Linked DNA regions of Caenorhabditis elegans. The protein of the gene in region 2 interacts with the protein of the main gene of each other region in a pairwise test. Each region holds a gene or a part of one and is shown on either strand. Other genes may lie near its edges.

Evidence for each region. The genes of interacting proteins can lie anywhere in the genome.
Region 1: the proteins of acly-2 (region 2) and mpz-3 interact in a two-hybrid assay, tested with the Caenorhabditis elegans proteins (one large-scale study listed by BioGRID).

What each region holds. Positions count from the first base shown.
Region 1 is NC_003280.10:6,562,527-6,569,680, forward strand, and holds mpz-3 (PDZ domain-containing protein), read right to left. Parts: upstream 2,871-7,154; 5' UTR 2,825-2,870; intron 2,795-2,824; exon of another isoform or gene 2,722-2,794; intron 2,628-2,721; coding exon 2,529-2,627; intron 2,346-2,528; coding exon 2,265-2,345; intron 2,216-2,264; coding exon 2,021-2,215; intron 1,977-2,020; coding exon 1,842-1,976; intron 1,793-1,841; coding exon 1,592-1,792; intron 1,524-1,591; coding exon 1,308-1,523; 3' UTR 1,268-1,307; downstream 1-1,267. Other genes in the region: F18C5.5 (Vegetative cell wall protein gp1-like), read right to left, coding at 3,018-3,141, 3,191-3,634, 3,676-3,742, 4,102-4,135; dbd-6 (DB domain-containing protein), read left to right, coding at 4,608-4,648, 4,880-4,997, 5,041-5,144, 5,188-5,344; sra-27 (Serpentine receptor class alpha-27), read left to right, coding at 6,488-6,751, 6,803-6,948, 7,036-7,111.
Region 2 is NC_003283.11:13,112,753-13,119,906, reverse strand, and holds the start of acly-2 (ATP-citrate synthase), read right to left. Parts: upstream 3,420-7,154; 5' UTR 3,400-3,419; coding exon 3,361-3,399; intron 3,313-3,360; coding exon 2,911-3,312; intron 2,867-2,910; coding exon 1,940-2,866; intron 1,894-1,939; coding exon 637-1,893; intron 592-636; coding exon 292-591; intron 242-291; coding exon 1-241.

The DNA.
Region 1 (7,154 bases), on a different chromosome or scaffold from region 2:
TGGGTCAATCCAATGCAGACGAATGGGTGCTAAAGGGCAGAAAGAAATGGGAGAACGGATTGGAGAAAGGGGGTTATTGAGTCATGGAATGATTAAAGTAGGTTGACGGTTGTTGGTTTCGAAATTGTTGTTCTACTGAAGAATTATGAAACAGATGTTCTAGAATTTTCACGAAAAAGAAAACAATTGTGTAGAAGTGAATAAACATGTTTTTAAAATATGAATTGGCATTCTCAATGCCAAAAAATACCAAGATGCAATCAAACCATGTGTGGTTCGGTAAGAAAATTTCATCTTGCCTATAGGTATTTTGAGGTTGCCTACGCTTGCCTACTAGAGTGAACGCGAATCTTTTTTATATCGGAATTTAATTTCAAGCATGTTCCTTACTTTAGTTCGCAGCTAAATTTAGAAAATAGGCAATGGGCATGAATGTATGTCACAGGCGCCTAAAAGCCGTGCCTGTCTACCGTTGAAGTCATAAATCCTTCATAAATCCTAGTAAACTCTGTGTTACAGCTGATAGTACGGTATTCTTTATTTAAACTTAGATCTAGTTGCTAAGTTTAGTTGGATGTATTGAAATGGAGGGTTTTTTCTCAGTCTCTGGAACTGTGAAGCTTTGCTAAAAACTAATGATTCAAAATGCTAGCAATTCAAAATTGAAATCTAAATTAATGGGATTTCCAAACAAGTGAACGTAAACTAATGAGAGAGTATATTGAATGACTAGGTTAAAATGGCCTATATCCCTCCGAATCAAGTGAAAATGAGAGCCAGTATGCATCCAGAAATGACAGATACACACTCTCATCCATTGCCTTTTTCCAATTCTCAGTCATATTTTGGCGAGTGAGAGCGGCGGGCGGACACGGACACGGACAACCAGACGCACAGAGTCGGTACCAAGCAGCACCGGCCGTCTCGTACGTCTCTCTGTCCGTGCACAGTGAGAGACAGGAAGAAAAACTAGTGGAAATAGTGAGTAGGACATAGAGACGCAGACGTTTGCTAGATGAACATTTGCAACTCTGTGAGACAACTAGGAGCAAGAAAAAACGGACGATGATGTGAGACTAGAAATGTTTCAAATAATGTGTAAAAGCTGTAGGTTTTAGATTCATGAGGGTTTCGAGGAGAAACCAATCTGGCATTCAACAATAAATAGAATTAGGCCTGCCTTTTTCAAATCACAGGTTGAAGGACCGTAAATATTTGTGTCTCTAGGCATAGGTTAGGGATGGATAGAACGGTAAACAACCAAACAAACACTTTTTGAAAACTTTATTTCGAACACTTTTCTCAAGTTAAGATCCCACACGTTTTGGAGTCATTTTCAGGGGCTTCGGAGACGGAATGTACGGGATGCGAACTTCTGGGGCAGGATCCGATGGCAAGGTGGCTGGAACTGGAGCAGGGGCTGATGCGGCGGTTGTTTTGATGATGCATGGAGGATTCTTGCACGGTTTCTTGTAGAAATCTTTGTTTGCCTTCATAATCTCCAAAACATCAGGAGGAAGAAGCTGCAAAGAAGAAAATAAAAACATGTTTTGGTAAATGAAATGATAAGAGGAAATGGGTTCAAACTGACCACATCAAACTGCTTGTTGGCTTTTCCTTGGGGTGGTTTTGGAGGAGGAAGCATCACTGAATTTCCAGATTTCTTCACTCCAGCAGGTGTGCTCTGTGCACCATCGGGAGGCGGTGGAGCAGGACCAAGTGGATCAGTAGTTGTGGATCTTTCCAATGTAAGACGGACCGTTTTTGTGTTGTTGACACTCGCGTAGAGAAGCTGAAAGTAAGTTAATTACTAAAATAAAATAAGAAAAATACTACAATACCTTTCTAGCAGAGTCACGATCAAGAACATAAATGTCATTAACTTTAACAAGAATATCTCCATCCTTGACATAGTGACACGCATTGGAAGCCGATTGAACCATTGAAATAGTCACAGTTTTTGGATCAACTGCCATCTGTAAATCATCCATGAAAGTATAAATTGTCCCTGATTACTAACTCTATGAATGATAATCCCTGTTGCAGCACCTCCACGATAAGTGAAAGTCAACTCAACCATTTGAGTATTTGGACGACGTGGTGGCATTGGTTTTTCAGTGACAAGGCAATGATCGTCTCGCATGAATTCAATTGTCACTTTTCCGGGAAGTTTTGCACTAATTGCACGGATAAAGTCAGCAGTTGTCTTGATGTTCTGGAAATGTTTGATTAGTTGAAACGGAAAATCTTAAAATATTCCTTACAGTTTCTCCATTGACATTCAGAATCTCATCACCAGCAAATAGAACACCCATCAGTTGGCTACTCACATCCACATATGTAATCTGCAATGTGATTATTCAAGATCTCTTCGATTTTTGAATTGAAAATGAGTCTTTTTACAGCCTCGAAGGAAATTGCAACCGGACTTCTTATTTATTAAAGAGTGTTCTACTGTTCTACACATCAGGGCTTTTGAAGTTTTATTCGGCTCTCGACGCGAGCCCTGTGTTGGATTCTTTATTTACCTTTCCATTGACCACATCACATGCTACAACCACATTTTTCCGTTCGAATTGTACTTCTTCTTTTCCTTTTACATGAAAACTATTGTTGTTGGTTGCCATCTGTAAATAGTACGTGTCTATCTCACAGCAACCCACTCTCGCGTCTCCTGTAACTAGTCGAGCGTCTATGCCTTTGGACCCAGCGCACTCGCTGGCCTCCTTAGCTCAGTTGGTAGAGCGTGAGACTTTTAATCTTAAGGTCAGGGGTTCGAGTCCCCTAGGTGGCTTGATTTTTTGCAGTCTGAATATTAACTTACCCCGAATAGATTGATGCGAAGATGAAAGCAACTGTCGACAAGGAAATATTTGAAACTGATTCAGTTTCTCTTTTCACTTTTTATTTTCTGATTTTTTTCTGTGTAAAACGAATTCAAACGATGTCACGCGGGTATATTTATTAAATTAATTAAATTATTTATTATTAATTAAAATTATTATATTTTGATGAGATCAATGGAATGGAACAATCCAATCAGCGTTGTCTTCTGCTTTTGTCACTTTCTTTTCACTTCCTCTTACAAACTTTGAAAGTCTTGAACGAATTGTATTCAGATCTTTGCTGTATGTTGGGGCGCTGAAATTAATTAATATTAGATTATTTTCTCCTGATTTGAGTAATTCACCTATGAGCTCTAGCTTCGGACGTTGTGTCATTATCAGATTCTTCAGTTTGAACAGTTTCCATAGCTTTTTCAGCTGGTTTCATAGTTGTAGTTGTGATTCCAAGAAGACGTTGGAAACTTGGTGGCATTGTCAATGCAGGCATTGTTGGCATTCCAGGAATTGGAGTGAAAGTTGGGAAAGTATGTGGAGCAAGAGTTGGAAGAGTTGGAAGGCCTTCTGCAGACAGGACTGGTACAGGTACTGGAATGAATTGTGGAAGTGGAAGAAGTGGTGGAAGAAGTGGAAGTGTCATTGGAAGTGGTTTAGCTGGAGCTCTTTTCACTGAACGATTAGCTTTTTGAGCTGGAAGTGTAACAACTGCTGGAGCACGTCGGATTCCTGTAGAAGCTGGACGAAGAGATTTAGCAAAAGGAGCATATGCCGATAATGATGGGAGGGGTGATCTGAAGAATAGATTAAAGAAAAAATGGAATAAATGTTAAACCTTCGAACATCTCCTCTCGGTCTTAAAGCACTTGCTCTCGGTACAACTTCATAACATGCAACGAATCCTGAAATGTTGAAATTAATTGAATTTTGAAGTCAAATATATTGATCAACTGAAAATTATATAGAAGCAATTTTTCTGGACTGGTTTTTTTTGCGATTTCGTGCAAGACGAAGAAAATATGAGAATCGAAATTTGGTTATTTATAGAACGTTTCAATTTATTGACGTACAAGCAGAATTCATATTGGGTAAAATTGTTATGACTAAGAAGTTTTGGATATGTCAAATAAATTAGTTATGTATTTTTCTTAATATTTTTTAAAACAAATTTGAACATATTTTAACCCAATTAGATAAATATTTCCTTTACCATTTAGAGCTAAATTTAGGGATAAATCAACGAAACAATCGAAAAACTAACCGATGACACAAACAGCTAACAGAAGAAGCTTCATTGTTGATTCTTTCCACAAAAATGAGAAGACGAAAAAGATAGAATAAGCCTCGAAGGCGTCGCTTCTTATCACTTTTCTTCCTACGATTTCTCGTTTTGCCCTTATCAATTAGCCATCATTTTGTGGAAATCTCAATGAAAATTCCCGTTGAAAATGAAAAAAGACAATGGATATCCACCACTTGTACACTGTCTTCAATAAGATGAAAGTTCAGCTAACATTAGTTTTTACAAACAGGGATATATTGGATTATCGTGATATTGAACTTGCTAGATTTTTATTTAATTCTATGTTGTTCAGAACATTAGTGTTCGCTGTCAATTTTTAACATATACTTTGTAAAGTATCCCACTTGTGACATGGTTTTACAACAATGCTATGCAAATTTGAGGACACTCAAATAATGGGCGGGACATAGATGATACTCGAGGTGGTACTGTTATAATCGTACCATTTTTATTTTCGCAGTACAATGCGAACGTGCGTCTTCTTTTTCTGTCTACTATTCGTTATGTAAGTTTATATGAAAAAAGTTTTATTTTAAATTAAAACTTTGACACAATAAAAAGTTTCCGAAGCATCTAAAACATCTAGTGGAATCTAGATCATCTAGTTCAAAAGATTCTCCAATTGAAAAATTTGGCTGAGCTACAGAAATCGTCAAGGGAAAAATTTACAAAACTTTTTGAAATTATCAATCCAATTCTTCAAAATATCCCTTTGTATCATTACAATATATCTCAGATGCCTTGCAAGACGAGATGCCAATCAGAAGCTGAAGGCATGCTGTGCTCGACAGAAAACCGCTGACAAAATGTGCAAAAAGAGGTTCTGTGATTTTGAAGCCATTCACCAAGGAAATGTAAGAATCAGTATTTCAATTCAAAAATGTAATATATATTTAGATGCTTCACTATTTGAACACATGTGGTCCAAAAAATCAGACTGTGCAGTTGATGTGGGATTGTGCATCTTCAAGAGCCGATCATACAGAGTGTTGCAAGAAAAAGTATTCACTTTATTTAATGTAGATATTTATTTTTTTATTTCAGTAACGTTCTTCCGGCATGTCTTCCATACTGTGCAGCACAAGGAACTGTACCGAATGAGCAAGTGACACATGTATTCTGTATGCAAAACTTCAACAATATCCGCGAATGTTTCCGTTCTCACCTTGAAAAGAGACCTAATATTTTTGGAGATAATTGATTAGTGCGGGAATTATGTTATTTGTGAAGATTATTTTGATATTTATTGATAAAAACAAACTGTAGTATTTTTTCTGGGAGTCGTCTGTGCAATACTAATTTTTGACGCAATATTTTATTCAGAATTTTAGTTGGAAATTCGGACACAAATTAGAAGCTGCTAGAACTAAAGTAGAATTTTACAAAAACTCATTTAGTTTTTAGTTTTCTAAAATTGGATACTCGCTTAGCTTTTGTAGCTATTAGCAAAATAAGTTGACATTTCAAACTGAATATGTTTTTACCAACGTTTCATAATATTCTCTGACCTTCAAAAAACATGTGTTTTATATTCCGATTGCTGCTGTAATTTAATTCCAAAAACCGATAAAAACATTCTGACCTGACAAGCACCACCCCTTTAAATCTGATTTGGTTTTTTGCTATAGTTGCAGAGCCACTAATTTTTAAAATCCGACGAATTTTTTTTTTCAATTTTTCACTATAATTTTCAACTGTATTTTCGAACCTTTTATAAGGTTTTTGATACCAAAATGCTTAATTTTAAATTCAAATATATTTAAAAGTTATAATTCAAACTAGGCACATACATACAACCTGATCAGTTTTTGGATTAGAGTTAACTTTTAAAAAGTTTGCCGGCTTATAACGGTTAGTTGAAACTTGTTAGCTTGAATTATTAGTTTTTGAGTAATTTTATTTTCAAATGACATTAAAAATCACCAAAGACCAAAAGTATTTCGACGTGCACTGAATCTATCTAACACTACTCAGAAATTAAAGTATTAATACAATGTTTAACAAACTACCAATTTATTCCCCAACTCTTAAAATGTTCTACTTATAACAACCTATACTTATTGTTTACACCCACCAATTTGCCAATTTTTATTTTGAAAACGAGAACTGATTTTGTTTTTGAAACCTATACATTTCATTAAACATGTTTCTAAGAGTTTGGTCAAATTGATCTTTTTCTCATGGTATCTGGCTTCTAGTTTGGGAAATAATGCAATAAGCAATATTGCCAAACACAAATTCCGGAAGGCTTCAGTTTTCATCAACACAACTCTTAGTATTATTATTATTTGTTCCCCCTGCCAAATCTACAACTGCACCAAAACTTGATATATTTGCAGTTAAAATGGCAATGTACACTAATCAAACAGCAGAAGAACTTGAAACATGGAGATGTACATCAGACGGAATTTTCAAATCACAAAACTCTATCTGGATGAAAATCAACTTTGTATTCGTATTTATTTTGATTTTTCTAACATTTTATCTGAGTTTCAAGGCAGCTAGAGTTCTCAAAAATCATAATGTTTATTCAAAAGGTTCACAGATTCTTCTTATGATTACGTTATTAAATGCAAACTTGAATCAATTAATATTCCTTGAAATTAGGGTAAAATTTTGATCTCATTTTGATCTCAGAAAACGTTGAATTTTTTTTTAGATAAGACATTTGGTTCACATATTTATAAATTCAGAGGATCCGTGTAAAATTGAATTTCACAGTCCTGAATGTACATATGATCAAACTATTTACGCATTTACTAGTGTTATGTCAACTGGGCTTCTTTCGGCTTTAACTTTCGATCGGTAATATTTATTCCTTCATTTTAATGTTTTTTCAAAGAAAGTGAATCTTTTTTCTCTCTTGCATTAAAAAAACAAAAATGTTTCCAGATTTTTTGCTCTATATGCATCTACGGTCTATGTTCGAAATTCTAAGGATTCAGCCTATATGCTTATCACGGTTTCGGTAAGTGAAGACATATTTTATTTCAAGGAAACGCCATGGAAGA
Region 2 (7,154 bases):
GAGCACCTATCTCGATAACTTCTTGAGCTTCAGCTGTTGTGAACATCCCACTGTTGCGCAAGATGTCGACGAAGATGATGGCAATAGCTCCATCAACATTTAGAATGAGGTTTGGCTTCTTGGCAGTGGTGATCTTCTCAACTTCCAGAGCATAATCGAGAAGTGGTGTTTCTTGAGCAAACTCCTTTTTGTTCAAAGCAAATCTCTTGAGAATCTCGACACGCTTATCAGGGTTATTGATCTGAAATTATTTCATCAATTATCAAAAAACTGTATTTTCTTGAAACTCACGCTCTTGACACGATGGCCGATACCCATAATATGAGTTCCACGTTTGCGCATTTCTCCGACAAACTGATTTGGAGACCACCCTTGATCGAAAGCCTCAGAGAATTGACGAGCAGCTCCATCGAGAGCACCTCCGAATCGGTCACCGATGGTGAGGAGTCCAGATGTGAGAGAAGATATCAAGTCCTTTCCAGCGCGAGCACAGACGATAGTATTATGAGCACCAGAAACTGCTGGTCCGTGATCAGCAGTGAGCATCAAACAGATCTCTATGAACTTGTTGGCATGTGGAGGGAGACGTTTCTGAAAAAGGAAAATATACAAGGCAAATTAGATTTTTTTTTGAACCTGGAACCACAGCAAGCCTAGAACTCCACCGATTCCCATATCCGACTCGAGGACTTTGGTGATTGGGACGCCAGCATAGTTCAATTCTTCTCCGCGTTCGTCACAAATAGAGGTCATGAAGGAAGCTGGTTTGCGAATAAGCCCGAGTTCCCGAGCCCAGGCATAGTCCATTGGAACTGCAGGTGGTGGAACTTCCGGCTGTGGAACGATGATTTCAAGTCGAAGCAATTCTTCATAAGTCTGACGAATCTTGTTTCCGAGGTCGTCAAACGAATCTGGAACCAAAGCACCAGCAGTACGAAGAGCTGTATTTTTGCATGCAGCAGTTTCTCCTTGTCCATTTGCAGAAGCTCCAGCATGACCGAACTGAACTTCTGAAGTAATGTGATCTGCACATGTTCCAATGCACCAAGCAATGAGAGGCTTCGTGATTTTCTTTTCTTTCAATAGCTCGACAATACGATATTCTTCTATACCTCCAACTTCTCCAAGGAGGACAATCATCTTAACACGATCATCGTGTTGATATCTCATAACGTGGTCGGTGTACGTACTTCCTGGATAGCGATCCCCTCCGATAGCAATTCCTTCGTAAACTCCGTTGGTATTCTGTGAAATAATGTTGTTGAGCTCGTTCGACATTCCTCCTGAGCGGGACACGTAAGCGACACTTCCAGGACGATAAAGTTTCGAAGCAAGAATATTATCCATCATTCCTCCGGTATTTCCGATCTTGAAACATCCTGGCTTGATTCCTCCAACAGTAGCAGGACCAATTAAGGTAACACCCTTATCTTCAGCAATTTTAAGCAATTTTCTTGTTTGATTTTCTGGAACTCCTTCGGCAATAATTGCGATAACCTTGATTTGTGTAAATTGAAGAGCCTCCAGAACAGTTTCAAAAACTGAACGCATCGACGCGAACGTGACCATGACAGTGGCATCTGGATGACTCGCGAAAGCTTTTGCCATAGATTTGTAAGCAGGAATAAGGATTTCTTTCTGTCCGAAATAATACTTTTGCTTGTTGTCTCCAGTGAACGGATAGGTTGAAGCGACGACTGATGGGGAGTGTCTTCTGCAAACAAAATCGAAATCAAGCATTCCTTGAATAGCTTTGTGTTGTTGTCCCCAAATGATAGCCTTTGTGTCGTTCTCGAACAAGCTTTGATGAAGAGGGTGCCTCTTGGCGAGAGGATGTTCGATTGTGGAAGTGTTCGGAGCTGGAGATGCTGGAGGACGTTCCGTGCCTGCAGTCTGAAAACAAAAACTAAATTATTTCCTATGAATAATTAGAACATACGTTTCTTTCTGGGCTCAACAAAAATTGTCCGGTGGTTTGAGGAGCCGTCGGGACTGTTGGCATTGGCTTCAATCCGAGCGCAGCTCCGACAATTGCAGTCATATGAGTTTCCGGTCCAAATACATAAATCGGAATTTCTAGTTTTGTGGCAGCATCCTTGACACGTCGCAGTCCTTCTTGGTAGTTCGGACCACCACGTCGAACGTAGATGGAAACATTATGTTCCTTGAGCTTATCAATGAAAGTTTCGAACGCACGAACGATTCCTCCGAATGTTTTTGCGACATTTGTGAAGTTAGCAATGGATCCACCAATGATGAGAACCTTACCATCAGGACGTGGAGCACCTTCTGTCATGACGGATAAAATAGTCTTGGCGTACTCGTAAGTTTGAGCTTCCGATGGATCTCCAGAATATTCTCCGTAGTTAGCAAGTTCAGATGATCCTCCAAGATCACAAACAGTATCGGTAAACACAACTGATGCTCCTCCACCAGCCACCATGGTCCATACGCGTCCCTTTCTGTTAAGAATAGTCAGCTTCAAAGATGCTCCAGTCTTCGCATCCATATCAGAAATGTATTGCTCCTCCGAAGTCAAATCACGTCCAAATGGTGCCGGGAACTCCAGAGTCGGAGCGATTCGTGCAGAAGCATTCCGACCGCTCCATTTATCCGAGCACAGAAAACTGGCAGTCTCGTCAAGCTTTGCAGCCAAGTCCAAAATATGAATCTTGCCATTGGTGAGAACAAACGGATTGATCTCCAAGTATGTGAAGTGAAGAGCTTTGTAGGCTTCGTATAAGCTGCGAACGAACTTTCGGATATCATCCTTATCACTACATGGCCCGAGAAGCACGCCTAGTTCTCTCTCCGAAATTGACATAGCATTGTCATCAAGTTGAACTGGAACATGGACTGATCTGGCCTGAAAATATGAAAATTTTTGAGAAATAATTACCTACTACAAACCTTTTCCTCGACGTCTCCAATATCAACTCCTCCCTGCTCATAGAACATAATAACATCGCGACAGCGTTCGCTGTAGATCGCGATGTACATTTCTTCATTTTCAGTATGAGCACAAAACGGCTCAACAATAAACGTGTGCAATCTTCCCTCCGTTTGGCCAACTTTCACATAACTGTTTGCCGTCTTGCCGAACCAAGCTTCCAGCTCTTTAGGAGACCCAATCTTAACAAGACCGAGCTTTCCACGACGCTTGATAAGCTGATCCGGCTTGATAACACCCTTGTTGTCTTGTGCAAGCCATTCGTACTTGGCGGCGACGTCAGAAAACTTATCTCCGGCCTTCACGTGAAAAGCATGTGGGGCACTGACAATTCCGGTCGACTCGAAATATTTGTACAAAACCTGCAATTGTTTTTGTAAATCAATCGAATAAAAAATAAAGCTTCATACCTCTTTTCCTGAGAGTTCGCTGACAGCTTTAGCCGACATATCAGTATGGGTGTAATAACCTGAAAATGGACAGTGTTTAATGGAAAACCGGCAAAGTCACGGATATATTGCGTAACAGACGGATGAAATAGAAGAGAAACAGATAGAAATCATTCGAAAAAAGGAGGATTGTGATGCAAGACGACACGCGGTGGCCTACAAAACAGAAAAAGTGCGCTCCTTGTAGCGGCGGAGGCGCTCGAGATCGAGATCAAACCGAATTTATACATATGAGAAAAAGATTTATCGAAAAAGTAGAGAAAAAGAACACTCTCTGGCGTTGACATTTGCATTTTTATTCAAATTCAATATATTTCACTTGTTGACAAGCCGAATAGGGAAAAAACGGTTGAGAAATTATTTGAAACTTGATTTCAGAAATTATTAAATAAATAAAGAAGAAAATCTATAGAATAGCTTCGAGGGAAGATTGTTTTAATTTAAGGTTTTCTATATTCTGAAATTTCAAAAAAAAAAAAAGTTTTAAAACATTTTCCGACGGCTCTGCAGTCACCATTACGACATATTGCAGAAACTACGGTATCCAATACAGTAAGCTTCTAAAGAGACCCGAAGAACTCGGGGGATGTCCAACTGGGGGGATTACTAACTCGGGGGATTGGCCCCGCCCACAGAACCGTGGCTTGCAATACGCCCATTTCTGCAACTGCCGCACGGTTTTAAAACTGTATTTTTATCAATAGAGCGAGGATTAACAAGAAAAAATGATTTTAAAACCGTGCGGCAGTTGCAGAAATGGGCGTATTGCAAGCCACGGTTCTGTGGGCGGGGCAAATCCCCCGAGTTGGTAATCCCCCCAATTGGACATCCCCCGAGTTCTTCGGGTCTCCTTCTGAAGCTTGAAAGAAGCTTCCCTTAGTGAAACTACAATTTGAAAAAACTGAAAATCAACCTACATCTAGCTAATACATTTTAGACCCCAAATATTTACGCACATGCATCAAAAATACATCATAATTTCGCGCAACTTTGGCTAGGCAGTTTAAAGGCGCAAACTGACTGTTTCTAGTGGGTCTCGCCACGATCTCAGTCATAGTGGTTTCTTCAAGTGCCAAATTTTACAAGTTTGTTAATTTGATGTTTAAAAATCCAGGATTAATTATCGAATGGGCGATAAAGGGGAAATACTGCTGAAAATTGCAGACTTTCCAGAAATCCAATGTCTAGGGACATATGTCCTCTTTTCTTTTTGTAATGTCTCGAAGCCGAAACGAGGAGAAACTCTTTATACATAACTTGTACAATACGAAATGGATATATAATAATTGGAGTTCCAATACTACGAATTTCTTGTCACCGGGGTCATGTACTTGTTTCCCACATTTTCATTTCGAATAAACAAAAAAGAACAGAAACAAAACAATTCTAACTTTTGTTTTACTAATCCACTAATCCTCAAAACATTTCATAGTTGCGGAATCGTTTTGGTTTGCTCCTCCGCGGGCTCTCCGAATACTTACTCGCATAAGTTTCCTGTTTTGCTCATGTCCTTGAGCACACGTATTTATTTCTATGTGAATGTGCATACGGGCGGTCCTAAAGATGAGGAATAAGTAGGCATTGTAATTTGAGCTAAAGAAGAAGAAGAAGAAGTCTAGCTCTCTATTCGAACGCCATTTACTTGAAAGTCAAAGTACTTCTAACTTCAAGACCTCTCAAACTTCTATGATGTATTAGCATATATTTTAGGTTTGATATACAAATAAGTAATATCTAAACCTACCAATTTAATTAGGGCTTCCGGGTGGAAGGTCTGTGAAAATGAAATTAAACCTAATTCATCTAATCCGAAGCCCACCACCGATGCGCTTTTGTGCATATATTCAAAGAATAGGTTTAACACTTTACGGCAACGTGTGTTTTAGGATTTTTAGATAAAATATTTTACATGAATTTTTGCAAAGGTAAAAATTTCTGTCTTACGTAGTGATGGGTTGTCGCAAAGTTAACTAATCTGTTAATTGCATCAATTAATTTGTGAAAAAATTGGAATGTATTAAATTGAAGATTCTAAGTTGCTCGGAAATAGAACGTATTACCTAGTACCAAGTTTTTCCTCGAATGCACAATACTGTATTATTTTGCCAAGTAAAAAATCTCGAAAAAGTCTTTTTTGCTATGAAAACTTCTGTATTCATTTTCTCCAAATATTTCCTTCAACGTCACTTCTTTTTTCTTATTGTTTACCGTGTTCGATACATTTCCGCGCATTCTTCCCACCTAATCCCACATGCTCATTGCTTTTTGCGCCATGTGTTCTCTTTTCCATCACCTCCTCCTCAATTCATTTTCCTTCTGTGTGCACTAATTGCCCTTCTACAATAACACACTTCTCCTTCTCCACCATCTCTAGCCATTTGGTCATCCTTTGACACATTAACACGATTGAATATTTATGTTTGAGATTCTTTCCCTCCCTTCTCTTCTGCCATTCAATTTTCCTTTCTATTGTTTTGTTTTTCGAGATTTGTGAGGACACTTATGAAAATATGCGGATCAAGTTTCCGGAACTGTTTAGATGCCATTTCCAAGGCCAATATTATACTTCCGTAACTAATGCATTTAATTTATTCACTTCTATATTTATTGGGCAGAATTTCTAGTTATATATTTGTTTTTTTTTGTCATTTCTGAGTTTTGAGAGGTACTTTAATTTTCAGTCTTGCATCCAGCCTATTTTTTCAATTTTTTTTTACAAAGAATTCATTAAAAAATTGGCAATTTGCCAAAATTGGTATTTTGAATGAAAATATTGTTTTCTGTAAGTATTTCAACTTTTTGACTCCTTTTGAGCATATTTTGACAAAACCCCCCACTGAAGTTTCTTCACCATTTGTTGAGTGACCCTGCAGAGTACGGACAGTACTAAATGTTTTTTCTAAACAACTACAAATGGGATTCATAATTCAAAATCTTTCTACGATTCATGCTACTTACGAAATTCATGTGATGTCAGAGTGTACCATCTCGGCTTGAAATCTGAATTCAAAAATCTTATTTTTGATTTTTTGTGCTACTCATTCACAGCTTCCCTCGTCCTAAAACTTGAACATGATAAATATGACTAGGAAATCTGCAGGAAACACTGAGTATATCTAGAACCTTCTCTCATTTTCCTTTCACTTTCTAATTTTCCCGGTCCTTTCCGCCCATCTATCTCTTCCAAAATGTGCACCATGCACAACCACAGATGAAAATCCGTTTAGCGCGGGAGAAAAGGAGAAGCCTTTTCGAATACTTTTCTGGGTGGCCTTCCCATTTTCTCTTTCAAAATTTCTTCCAGTAAAATCTCATAAAGGGATTACTGTACTATTGAAAGTGACAACTATGTATAAACTAATCCCTTGAAAATCATGACATTTTGATCTTTTGATGAGAGTCTACTTTAGAGTCAAGGGGATCCTTTTTTCAACGAACTTTGCTTGTAGTTCAAAAAACGCTGTCATCAATATTCTGTTGCTTCTTTGACTCTTTTCTACTTTTACAAAACATCTTCTTCTCTGCCTCACACGAACTTCTCCTTCTTCACCACAATTTTATTGCATTTTGACACGGAATGCACATTTATTCCCTTCTATCAATTGTAAACAAAATCGAATTTTTTGAGCAGAAAATTGCAACACTTCTTAAAAATGCCTTTGAGTTGTTTTGTGTTTTCGTTTTTTGAAAAGCACCGGAAGAAAACACGAAAATGCGTTGTCGGAGGTCAAATTGAATTGTTGCTTTGTTGTTGG